Sus scrofa: one gene and its partners. The protein of the gene in region 1 interacts with the protein of each later gene in a pairwise test. Links are inferred from orthologs where the notes say so. Each region holds a gene or a part of one and is shown in the gene's direction. Other genes may lie near its edges. The genes, in order: CEBPG, ATF4 and CEBPE.

Evidence for each region.
Region 2: the proteins of CEBPG (region 1) and ATF4 interact in binary tests that used the Homo sapiens proteins (3 or more experiments, as listed by UniProt). The link is inferred for Sus scrofa from reciprocal best matches to the Homo sapiens genes CEBPG and ATF4.
Region 3: the proteins of CEBPG (region 1) and CEBPE interact in a two-hybrid assay, tested with the Homo sapiens proteins (2 studies listed by BioGRID and IntAct, with this or other methods). The link is inferred for Sus scrofa from reciprocal best matches to the Homo sapiens genes CEBPG and CEBPE.

Annotation. Positions count from the first base shown.
Region 1 is NC_010448.4:43,171,394-43,174,925, forward strand, and holds part of CEBPG (CCAAT/enhancer-binding protein gamma), read left to right. Parts: 5' UTR 1-36; coding exon 37-531; 3' UTR 532-3,532. UniProt on the Homo sapiens protein: Transcription factor that binds to the promoter and the enhancer regions of target genes. Binds to the enhancer element PRE-I (positive regulatory element-I) of the IL-4 gene. Binds to the promoter and the enhancer of the immunoglobulin heavy chain.
Region 2 is NC_010447.5:8,742,935-8,747,076, reverse strand, and holds ATF4 (cyclic AMP-dependent transcription factor ATF-4), read left to right. Parts: upstream 1-1,324; 5' UTR 1,325-2,223; intron 2,224-2,795; 5' UTR 2,796-2,887; coding exon 2,888-3,113; intron 3,114-3,209; coding exon 3,210-4,069; 3' UTR 4,070-4,113; downstream 4,114-4,142. UniProt on the Homo sapiens protein: Transcription factor that binds the cAMP response element (CRE) (consensus: 5'-GTGACGT[AC][AG]-3') and displays two biological functions, as regulator of metabolic and redox processes under normal cellular conditions, and as master transcription factor during integrated stress response (ISR).
Region 3 is NC_010449.5:75,925,201-75,929,467, forward strand, and holds the start of CEBPE (CCAAT/enhancer-binding protein epsilon), read left to right. Parts: upstream 1-1,451; 5' UTR 1,452-2,970; coding exon 2,971-3,483; intron 3,484-4,065; coding exon 4,066-4,267. UniProt on the Homo sapiens protein: Transcriptional activator. C/EBP are DNA-binding proteins that recognize two different motifs: the CCAAT homology common to many promoters and the enhanced core homology common to many enhancers.

The DNA of each region.
Region 1 (3,532 bases):
TAGCGTGGAGACCGTTGATCTGACCGCCTGGCCCGGATGTCTGCCTGCTCTGGGCTGACGAGGGAGAGCGCCCAAATGAGCAGGGTGTCGCCGCAGACCTCTGGTGCTCCCCCGGTGCTGAACGGGCTAACTGTCACTCACACTCAGGCGCATGCCAGCGGCTTACAGCAGGTTCCGCAGCTGGTGCCCGCCGGCCCTGGGGGCGGAGGCAAAGCTGCGCCTCCAAGCAAGCAGAGCAAGAAGAGTTCGCCCATGGATCGCAACAGTGATGAGTACCGGCAGCGCAGAGAGAGGAACAACATGGCTGTGAAAAAGAGCCGGTTGAAAAGCAAGCAGAAAGCCCAGGATACACTGCAGAGAGTGAATCAGCTCAAGGAAGAGAATGAACGGTTGGAAGCAAAAATTAAATTGCTGACTAAGGAATTAAGTGTACTGAAGGATTTGTTTCTTGAGCATGCACACAACCTTGCAGATAACGTGCAACCCAGTAGCACTGAAAATACAACGAATTCGGATAGTGCAGGACAGTAGGCCTCCCCCCTTCCAAACTTCACAGCTTGTGGCTGGAACGGAAAAGGTGTGGCGGCCGACACCACTCACATCATCAGCTGAACCTTGTCTTGTGCCATTAGAGATGCGTTGAAGGTTGTTTTCTAGGATCATCACTGAAGAGTTGATTAGCTGGAAACGTTAGCCATGTAATTTGAATATCTGGTTTTAAATTATGAGGATTTCTTTGGGGATTAAAAAAAAACATTTTTAAAGGATAGATTAAAAAAAAATAATTCCCTGGACCTTTATGTTCTTAATTACATCCTGACTTCCCAAGGAATGTTTCTTTTTTTAAGGTCGACAAAAGGAATGGGGAACTGGCAAGTCATGCAGTAAGTTCTTGGTTTTCATCGATATGGTAAATTGGATGGAGACAAGTTGAATGCCATCTCTGTTAATCCATTTGTGACTTTTTTCTAAATTATGTATTAAAAATGCTTAGGGCTATAGAAGCCAATCACTTTGTAATGTGGAGTGATTTTATGTATAGTATAAACCTCGTTTTAGCATCATTGGTACTGCTTTCCCCAGCAAGTACAAGCTTTTGAATAGCAATGTCAGGTTAAGTAAAGAAACCCCATTGCATTTTAAAGGCAGTATGCAGCCAGTTGGCTTAAAAACTTAAATAGTATTTAGGAAGCAAATAGGTTTATAAAAAATAAAAGCAGAGCATATTAGAATTACACTTTTAGGATGCCTTTGGGTTATTGAATTGGCATTATTTTGCTAAAATAAAAAAAACCCATAACAGTTCAGTGGTTTAGAGAAACTTGTGTACCAAAATCTTAGTTTCTACAGATGCTAGTAAAGTAAGCTTTTTTTTTTTTAAAGACAAAACCATTTGGACAGCCAGGTTAGTAAACAAAATGTCATAACAGTTATGACCACACAAGCTGCTGATTAGGATTTTGAATATTAATTTCAGCAGGTAATTTCTCCTGTGTTCAGACATACTGCATCGGGGCCGCAGTTTTTAAAAGCAAAAATTTCTTGTGAAGGATCATATGGTATTTGATCTTAATGACCTGATGATTAGAAAAACACATCAACTCCATGCCATCTCCCAAAATAATAGTTTAAGAAAACTTGAAAGTATAAAGTTTAACCTTTAATTTATTTCACTTAAACACATCTTTTTATATGGTTTTTGTGACATTTCCTTTTCTAGTTAGTGGGGCTGTTCTTTGAGACTTTTGTACCACTTTTCATTTGTATGCATGTATGTCCCATAAATTATTTTAGCAAGAAAATACTGATAATAACTCAGGATACTGACATTTTTGTTGAGACTAAAAAATGGCAGTCTCTAAAGACAGGAATCTCTAGGGTCTGGCTTATATCAATGTTGTTGGTAGTTTTCATTGTCCTTGTTGGCTCTTTTAAGCACAAACCTAGCTCAAATCTGTTGGTGTCTGTCTTTTTTTCTTTTTTCTTTTTTCCTTTTTTTTTTTTGGTGAGGGTGGTGGTGGTGATAAGAGACTGAGTCCCATCTGATTAAAGTTTGTGTTGCCAGGTATCTCACTTGCACATGGTCATTTGGGGCCATGTTGTACTAGGACCCGGGACAGTGTCATCAGGATGTAACTCAAGTGGCGCCCTTGAGTTGGGAAAAGAGTGCTGTCTGTGCCCTTCCCCTGGGCGGGAGGACATCACAGACCCCTGGCACTCAGCAAAGCCATGATTAAAGGCCAGGAGCAAGGCCTTTCTGCCCGTGACAGGAATCCTGTATTGTTCCGTAAGAGCCACTGTCCCAGTAGGGTTAGCTCCCTGTCGAGCCAGGAGACAGTAGGGGTTTCTGTTAGGGTCCAACATCGGTTTACTATTGGTTGGGGTCTCAGTGTACTTGTAAGTTGACAGATGTTTTTCAGTAACTAACTAGGAGATACCACCTGAATCCTACTGAGTCTTTAATAGCCCTCATTGGAGATGCACTTAGGCCCCTGGAATCTTTAAGCACCTGTAAGGGGTGCTACAGACATTTAAATCTCTTACTTACTAAAGGATTATCTTTCAGAAATTGATGTCCCCACAGAATTTATTGTTACCAGTTAGATGAACTGACTTAGCTGTCTTGGAAGAGAAGCTTTAGGGAAATCATCAGGTGTGTACTCAGTTATTTCAAAGAAGAAAATCAGATCGTAACTTTGGGAAAAAATTGATTTAAGCTGTCTTTTTTCCTGTGCAAATCAAAGCTAGCACAAGCAGTCATGCATAGAACAGAAATGTAACCGTTGTCTTGACTACCTTACCGAAGTGTTTGGGCATGGAAGTTTTTAGTCTATCAGTATAAAATTGAGGGAAGCCAAGTACAGGGGATGGGTAAGTTTAGAGCTTTGGGAATTGTAAATGCCTTTTGTAACTTTTGTTCTGTAGGTTACCTATGAACCATTAGGAATGATCTGCCTTGGTTGGCAGGTCTCTGGTTTAGGAATTAGGTTTACTATAAATTTCTGGCTGCATCGGAGTCTTCCGGGATAGGTGCTTTCTGACTGGTCTTGGCTGCAGGTGGTGTGTGCGATCAGAGCAGCCTGTCCTGCTGTCTGGCCTCTTTTACACTGAGAGGTGAGCTCAGATAACTTTGGACATTCTTACTAAGGAGTAGTAAGATTAAAAAAAATTATCGAAGTATAGTTAATTTACAGTGAGAAGTGGGTAAGATTTTAATAACATGATCAGATTTTTGAAATTCAGATCATGAGTGTGAAATTCCCAAATTTACATAAAGATGTATGTACAATTTAATATTTGGTATTAAAGGAAGTCGTAGCAGCTTTTGATGTTTCTTAATCCCCATTAGAGGGCTTGAGACCTGAACAACCCAGTTAAAGCACTCGGAGAGTGTTTTTGATGCCTTCGAAACAGGAAAAAATTTTTGTTTGACAAAAGCTAGGAAGGAAGAAAATCCATTCTGTAGCTGTTAGATCTGCTTCTCAGGAAAAAGTACTTTTTCTTTTTGTTCCTAGCTTTCCTCAGTTTGTGA
Region 2 (4,142 bases), on another chromosome or scaffold:
ATGACACCTTTGGAAGACTTGGGTAGTGGCTCGGGGGTAGTGGCTCGGGATTCTTACTGTCTTTGCACCAAAAGACCAGATGCCTTGTACATGTTTCCAGAGAATTGAGATTCCCCAAGGGGAAAGAAAAACCATACCTAGTATCCAGTATGCTTTCCTAGACCAGCTGTTTATAGTTGTTGATTTCATCTCAGTAAATAACAGTCCTCTGAGGGAGCAGGATATGATGGGGATGGGAGGTGGGTTAGAAGACCTGCGTTCTAGTCACAGGAGTAATGGCAACCATTTATCCAGCACTTACCAGGTACCAGGCGCACGGCTCAGTGCTGTGAATATATTATCTTAACTTCATTCTAAGGATGAGGATACCCATCATTAGCCTCGTTTTACAGATCAGGAAACGAAGACTCAGTGGGGGTAAGTCACTTAACCAGAATGTCTCCACTAATAAATGGGAAAGCCAAGATTTTTTGGAATTGGCCCTTAAATCTGTCATAACTCCTACCCCATACTGCCCACACCAGGCAAGACATGTCATGCCTTTAGTCATCAGCTTACCACTGTAAAGAAATGGTTGGGCTAGACTGACTCAAATCAATGAATGGTTAGTTGTTATGTAGGAAGTGCCTGACCAATTTTTGACCTCACTGTCCTCATAGAAATAATATTTGTAGGGCCCACTGAAATGAAGGGGAGTGGAAACTCAAGGTTTCCCTACAGGGCCTGATTGGAGGACTGGAAGATGGTGAAAGAGCTTTCTCCTAGCTCTTGACAGTTCCCCAGTAGAGAGGGCAAGTTACTGGCCCTAACCTGGACTGTGGCCTCCAAACACACAAATTCCCCTAAGTGGGCAGGTCTGATCAAGCACCCAGGCAGTAGGACTTGCTGGGAAGTGGTTATGCCGCGGAGTTACAGAGTTGGTAAATAATTGAAACTACCCTAGAGTGAGAAAGAGCAGCTAAATAAAATACCTCATTTTTAGGGGAAGTGAAACTACATAAACTGAAAGAAGTTCCCCTGTCATAGGTTTCATTCTTTAACATAAAAGGAAACTTGTATTTTAGCAGAATGGATATGTAAAAATACAATTGTTTAGACCACAGGATTATGGATTTCCTCCACTCGACTCGCCTCTACAGAGTTGAGTCAGGACGCAGAGCAGGCCTTTGATGGTAGGTGGATCTCAGCTGAGGTCATCAGTCTCCCCTTCCAGTTACTGAAGGGTTCACACGTCCTCAGTATTCTGCAAGTGTGTGCAAGTGAAAACAGACGAAATAACATTTACTCTTGACTAGTTTCACATTCGGGCCTAAACCCGGTCCCTAGTTCGGAGCTTCTCCAAGGGCGGCAGGAAAGGACCACGAGGATTCGGACCTAACGCCACTATTTGGATCTGGGCCAGGGCTGCCCGGGGCAATCAAGGCCAGCTGGGTGGGCGGGGCTGAGGGAGCCTTTGCAGAGCGGCGCTACGGCGAGCAGGACGCCGGGGCCCGGCGGCGGGAACCTCACCCACCTTCCCGCGCAGATCAGGGGCTCCCTCGCTGAACAACCCGCCCGCCTCGGAGCCTGAGCCAATAGAAACTCGATGTATATATGACTCACCATGCCTAACCAATCATTTCGACGCGCGCTCTCCGCCAGTAGCTCGCGCGATAACCAGGAGACCTCGTACTTCACAATAAAAGCCCTTCTTGGGGTGAAAGACTCGTCTCCGCCTCTCGGGCTAGCACCGGAAGTAGCTGTGCAAGATCCTTCCGCGCATCCCGGCAGCGGACGGTGGTGATCCTTAGATCTCAAAAGCCTTGTAAAGTAGTGCGCCCTTTTTTGAGGCTGTAAATAAAAGTAACTCATTTGGTCCTCACAGTTTCGCCCTCGACATAAAAGTCAGAGACTGGAAATGGTAGGGGCGTCGGTTAAATGAAAGCGCGTGGGTGGGAGGCGCTGGTCACGTGACCTAGGCGGAAGAATATTCTCTGTGATGCGTCCCACAGAGGCAGAGTCTATAAAGGACCCGCGCTCGGCGAACCGCCGCCATTTCTTTTCCTCTCCGCTGTAGATGTAGTCCTTTTCTGCGAGTGGGCGCTTTTCTTCCTCCGCTCCCGCAGGGTCCGCGGCCGCCATGGCGTATTAGAGGCAGCAGTGCCTGCGGCAGCATTGGCCTTTGCAGCGGCGGCAGCAGCACCAGGCTCTGCAGCGGCACCCCCCAGCGGCTTAAGCCATGGCGTAAGTACCGGGGCCCGACGCTCTGGGCCGTGTCCCCCCGGGTCGGTGAAGGGTTCTTGTCTGATGCTGGGGCGCGGTCCGGCGGCGTCGCGGAGGGGGAAGCGGTTTTACGAGCGCCCGGGACGCGTGGCCGCTGATGGGGTGACGCCGAAGCGCCAGCGCCCCTGGGTCGAGAGGCCGCTGCGCTGTTCGGGCGTGGGGCGAAGTCCTCGGTACCTCCGGCCCCGGCCGGGGGGCCGGGGCTCCCCCTGGGGCTCCACGAAACGTGGCAGCAGCCAAGATGGCGGCGGGGCAGGGCGGCGGCCGCGGCGTGAGTCACGGGCGGGCGTGGGCGGGGCCGGACTCGGCCGGGAGGACCGGGCGCCTTCCTCTGGTGGCGGGTCGGGGAACGGCCGGGCGTCCATCTTGCGCCGCCAGGCGGACGCGGGGAAGGTTGGCAGCCGGGGCCAGCGGCCCCCAAGTCTCAACAACCACACGGGGTCGGGATTTGGCCGTCCTGCCCCGGGGGTGGAGAGGCGAAAGGCTCAGACCAGCTGTTCTCTAATGGGGCTTGGTTTCTGGTTCCTGTTAAGGCTTCTCACGGCATTCAGCAGCAGCGTTGCTGTAACCGACAAAGACACCTTCGAATTAAGCACATTCCTCGATTCCATCAAAACTCCGCAACATGGCCGAGATGAGCTTCCTGAGCAGCGAGGTGTTGGTGGGGGACTTGATGTCCCCCTTCGACCCGTCGGGTTTGGGGGCTGAAGAGAGCTTAGGGCTCTTAGACGAATATCTGGAGGTGGCCAAGCACTTCAAACCTCATGGGTTCTCCGGCGACAAAGCTAAGGCGGGCTCCTCCGAATGGCTGGCTGTGGATGGGTTGGTCAGTGCCTCAGACAACAGCAAGGGTGAGTGGGCTTTTCCCTGCCGGTGGGGTCTGGTGATAAAGCCTTGCTGCCGCGTGCATCTGACTCTGGGTTCCGTCCCTCTTAAATCTCTTGCAGAGGATGCTTTCTCCGGGACAGACTGGATGGTGGAGAAAATGGATCTGAAGGAGTTCGACTTCGATGCCCTGTTGGGTATAGATGACCTGGAAACCATGCCAGATGAGCTTTTGGCCACGTTGGATGACACATGTGATCTCTTTGACCCCCCACTCCAGGAGCCCCCGCAGATAGTGAACCCAATTGGCCATCTCCCAGAAAGTTTACCAACAACTGACCAGGTTGCCCCCTTTACGTTCTTGCAAACTCTTCCCCTTTCCCCAGGGGCCCTGTCTTCCACTCCAGATAATTCCTTTAGTTTAGAGATACAGGGTGAAGTGGAAATCTCGGAAGGAGATAGGAAGCCAGACTCCACTACTTACATTACCTTGATTCCTCAATGCATAAAGGAAGAGGATGCCCCCTCAGATAATGACAGTGGCATCTGTATGAGCCCTGACTCCTATCTGGGCTCTCCCCAGCACAGTCCCTCCACCTCCAGGGCCTCTCCAAGTAGGAGCTTGCTCTCTCCCGGGGCCCCTTGTGGTTCTGTCCGGCCCAAACCCTATGATCCTCCTGGAGAGAAGGTGGTAGCAGCAAAAGTAAAGGGTGAGAAACTAGATAAGAAGCTGAAGAAGATGGAGCAGAACAAGACAGCAGCCACTCGGTACCGCCAGAAGAAGAGGGCAGAGCAGGAGGCCCTCACTGGCGAATGTAAAGAGCTGGAAAAGAAGAACGAAGCTCTGAAAGAGAAGGCAGATTCCTTGGCCAAGGAGATTCAGTATCTCAAAGATCTGATAGAAGAGGTCCGCAAGGCACGGGGAAGAAACGCGCCCCCTAGCTGCCGGGCAGGGGTGTGCATGTGCTTGTACATAGGCTAGGGCTTTAGCTGTGTGTTGCAATAAATTATTTTGTAGTGAACGTACTGCTGATGACTGATTTCTTCAGATAAAT
Region 3 (4,267 bases), on another chromosome or scaffold:
CAAGGCCTTAACTATCGTCACTATTTGGGGTGTCATTTCTCCTCATGAAGACAAGGGCCTGGCCCCAGTCTTCTCTGCCTGCACGCTCTTCCTGCAACTGCACTGCGAGCCCCATCTCAGCCATGTTTCCTCTTCCTCCTTCCAGGCGTCTGGCCCTTGCCAGGGCTGTGGGAAGCTGCCCTCTGCCGGCTACCTGATTCCTGACTGCAGCAGCCCCTCAAGTCCTGAATTTTGGACGAATATTACCACCTGGTGGTTAAATGAGACACTGCTGCCAAACTGAAGCAGCTCAGCTCTGAGACCTGTTTGTCACAGGGTCCTTTGAAATGGAGAGAAGGCAGAAATCTCCCCCATCTGGGTACCTGAGCTCTGTCTCTTGGATGCAAGCAGATCTCCCCATGCCAGCTCGGGACCTTCAGAGAAAGTACCTCAGACTGTACACAGAAAGCTCCTGGGGGAGTTCCTGTCGTGGCTCAGTGGTTAACGAACATGACAAATATCCATGAGGACGAGGGTTCGATCCCTGGCCTTGCTCAGTGGATTAAGGACCCATTGTTGCCATGAGCTGTGGTGTAGGTCACAGACGCGGCTCAGATCTGGCATTGCTGTGGCTGTGGCATAGGCCAGTGGCTACAGCTCTGATTGGATCCCTGGCCTGGGAACCTCCATATTGCTGTGGGAGTGGCCCAAGAAATGGCAAAAAGACAAAAAAAAAAAAAAAAAAAAAAAGAAAGAAAGAAAAAAGAAAGAAAGAGAGAGAGAAAGCAAGCAAGCAAGCAAGCAAGCAAGCTCCTGGGGGAGGTGGAGGGAGGGGATGCTAAGTAGAGGGGTAGCTTGCCTGATTTGCAGGGAGCCCTGTCTCAGGCTGCCTACGTTATCTTTATTTATTTGCTTTTTGTTTTTCAGGGCCACACCCACAGCATATGGAGGTTCCCAGGCTAGAGGTCTAATCAGAGCTGTAGCCGACGGCCTACACCAGAGCCACAGCGACACCAGATCTGACCCACATCTGCAAACTACACCACAGTTCACAGCAATGCTGGATCCTTAACCCACTGAGCGAGACCAAGAATCGAATCCACATTCTCATGGACTGTAGTCGGATTCTTTTTTTTTTTTGGTCTTTTTGCTATTTCTTGGGCCGCTCCCACGCCATATGGAGGTTCCCAGGCTAGGGGTCCAATCGGAGCTGTAGCCACCGGCCTACACCAGAGCCACAGCAACGTGGGATCCGAGCCACGCACGTCTGCAACCTACACCACAGCTCATGGCAACGCCGGATCGTTAACCCACTGAGCAAGGGCAGGGACCGAACCCACAACCTCATGGTTCCTAGTCGGATTCATTAACCACTGCGCCACGACAGGAACTCCAGTAGTCGGATTCTTAACCTGCTGAGCCACAATGGGAATTCCTGCCTACTTTTTTTAGCATTTAGTGCCACATGTAGCTGCTCCGCATTTGCCCCCTTATGGCCTGACCCTTGGTGTGCCTGACTTATTAAACCTTCTGGCCTCCACAGGGCACGGACAGAATTTGCTGGTGACAAAGATCCAGTAACATATTTCCACATGTCCTTTCCTTTGCACCGCACCCAGAGTCCCTTTTGCAGATACAACAGGTAAAAGCAGGGCCACAGCAAGTGCCTCTGACAGGAGGGAGTGGGGAGTTCCCAGAGGAAAGAGAAAAGGGAAGAGAGAGGGGGCCCAGCCTGAGACCAAAAGTGCAGAGCGAGCCATGGGCTTCTCCTGGAGACCCTGAAACAGAGCCCCAGGAAGAGGTGATGACAAAAGAGAAGGCTTCTCAACCCTCACAAGAGGAAGTGGACCCAAGAGACACGCATAGAGGTCAGAGAACGGCCATGCAGAAGGAAAAACAGCAAACCGAGCTGCAGCGAGCGCCTGAGCCCTGCGGCCCAGGCACAGGAAGCGGGCAGAGCCCTCAGGACCCAAGGAGGGCAGAGCGCCAGCCTGAAGCTCTGGCAGTGCAGGCCGGACGCTGGAACCACGAGAGGAATGTAGCTGCCAGTTCCTGGGGCAGCAGCCTGCTGGGCCCTGGAGCACAGGGCCTAAGCCCTGAGCAGGTGCCTCAGCCAAGCCTGGGCAGTCACAGCCCATGCCAGGCTGCTAGCGCTGGCCCAGGCTGGAAACACGTGAGGGCTTGGGCTCTTGCACAGAGCCGGTGCAAAAACCTAGCAAAAGAGCCTCCTCTGCATCATGAGACGGGGCCTCGTATAAGGCTTAGTCCCAGGCTGATAACTACTTCCTAGACCCCTCAAACAACACCCCTTGGCCTGCACCCCGGAGAGTGGCTCAGAGAGGTGGGGCTACAAAAGGAACTGAGCGGCCCTGGGGGTAGGTGGAGCCCAGCCCTGGGAGGTGGGGGGGACTGAGAGGGAGGCGTGTCAAGGGAGGAGCTCAGATCAGGCTGGGGGTCGGCACTGGGAGAGGGTTTTCTCTGTTCGTTCTGACGGGGCACTCATTCTGCACAGGACTTTTTGGAAGTCGGAGGGAGGAGGACACTCAGAGTGAGGGGTTGCCCTCAACGGGGATTCCAGAATCTCCCGGACTCGAATGAGAGGGGGAGGCCTCTTCCCAGAAGCATCAGCTTCTGGGCATCTCAGAACCCTGGCTCAAGCCTGACCAGAGTGCCCCCCTACTGCGAAACAGGCCAGGGCCCCCATTTCTCTAAGGCCTGCATCCCTCCCTCCGGGGTGCGCCCTGCCCCTCCCTGAGTCACCCCAGGGAGAGAGGGGAAAAAAGGGAAGAGAAAAGAGGCATTGACTACAGAGGAAGGAAAAGGAAACAGCAGAGGAGGGAGGAGAGGCCACGCAGGAGTGGGTGACAGAGGAGATCAGAGAGGGCAGATCTAGGGCAGATCTAGGGCAGGGGGAGATAGCAAGCCGAGCATCCCAAAGGGCGCCCCAAGAGCAGGCCGCCAGGGGCGGGGAGCTGAGGGGGCGGGCCGGCCATGTCCCACGGGACCTACTACGAGTGTGAGCCCCGGGCTGGCCAGCAGCCACTCGAGTTCTCGGGGGCCCGAGCGGGGCCTGGGGAGCTAGGGGACATGTGTGAGCATGAGGCCTCCATCGACCTATCTGCCTACATCGAATCTGGGGAGGAACAGCTCCTCTCCGACCTCTTCGCTGTGAAGCCAGCACCTGAGGCCCGAGGCCTGAAGGGCCCCGGAACCCCTGCCTTCCCCCACTATCTGCAGCCTGACCCTCGGCCCTTCGCCTACCCCCCACATACCTTCGGCCCCGACAGGAAGGCCTTGGGGCCTGGCATCTACAGCAGCCCGGGGAGCTACGACCCCAGAGCCGCCGTGGCCGTGAAGGAGGAGCCTCGGGGGCCTGAGGGCAGCCGGGGGGCCAGCCGCAGCGGCTACAACCCTCTGCAGTACCAAGTGGCTCACTGTGGGCAGACGGCCATGCACCTGCCCCCGACCCTGGCAGCACCCAGCCAGCCCCTACGTGTCCTCAAGGTAAGAGCCGTTCGCTTATCCTCCCCGCCATCCAGGGTCTGGGGTCTGTGTGGATGGGGTCTGTGTGTGGCGTTGCTCTGTGAAACCCATCCACCCCAAGCCCCCTGCGCTCACCACCCTGTCGTGGCCCCTCTTGGCTTCTCTGGGAATTCACTCCCACCCTGATCTCCACTGTGTGGCTGACACCGATGTGTCCTGCAGTCCCTCTGGCCAGCTGACCTGCCCTGACCTCAGGGCCCCCACCAGCCTCTCTGCCACCCATCAGTCTCCACCACTCATTTCTGTGCTGCCTCCTGCTTCTTGAAGAGGAAATGTCTGCTAATGGCAGAACTGAAAAGTCAAGATAGTTGGAAGGAAAGTGTCCTCAGAGAGTGTGGGGAGGCGAATGGGAGTTTGGATCAGAGCAGAGGACCTCGTGCATCTGGCAGGGCGATGGCTGTTCTGACCGGGAGCTAGGAGCTGGCTCTGAACCCCACATCCCTCTGATGCCCCAAGTGTGCTCTGCCTACTGGGATGTCTACCCTGCCTCCACTCTGCTTCCCAGCAGCCCTCACTCTTGTCCCTCTGTTCCTTCCCCTCCAGGCCCCTCTGGCCACTGCTGCACCCCCCTGCAGCCCCCTCCTCAAGGCGCCCTCCCCAGCTGGCCCCTCACACAAGGGCAAGAAGGCCGTGAACAAAGACAGCCTGGAGTACCGGCTGCGGCGGGAGCGAAACAACATTGCCGTGCGGAAGAGCCGGGACAAGGCCAAGAGGCGCATTCTGGAGACGCAGCAGAAGGTGCTGG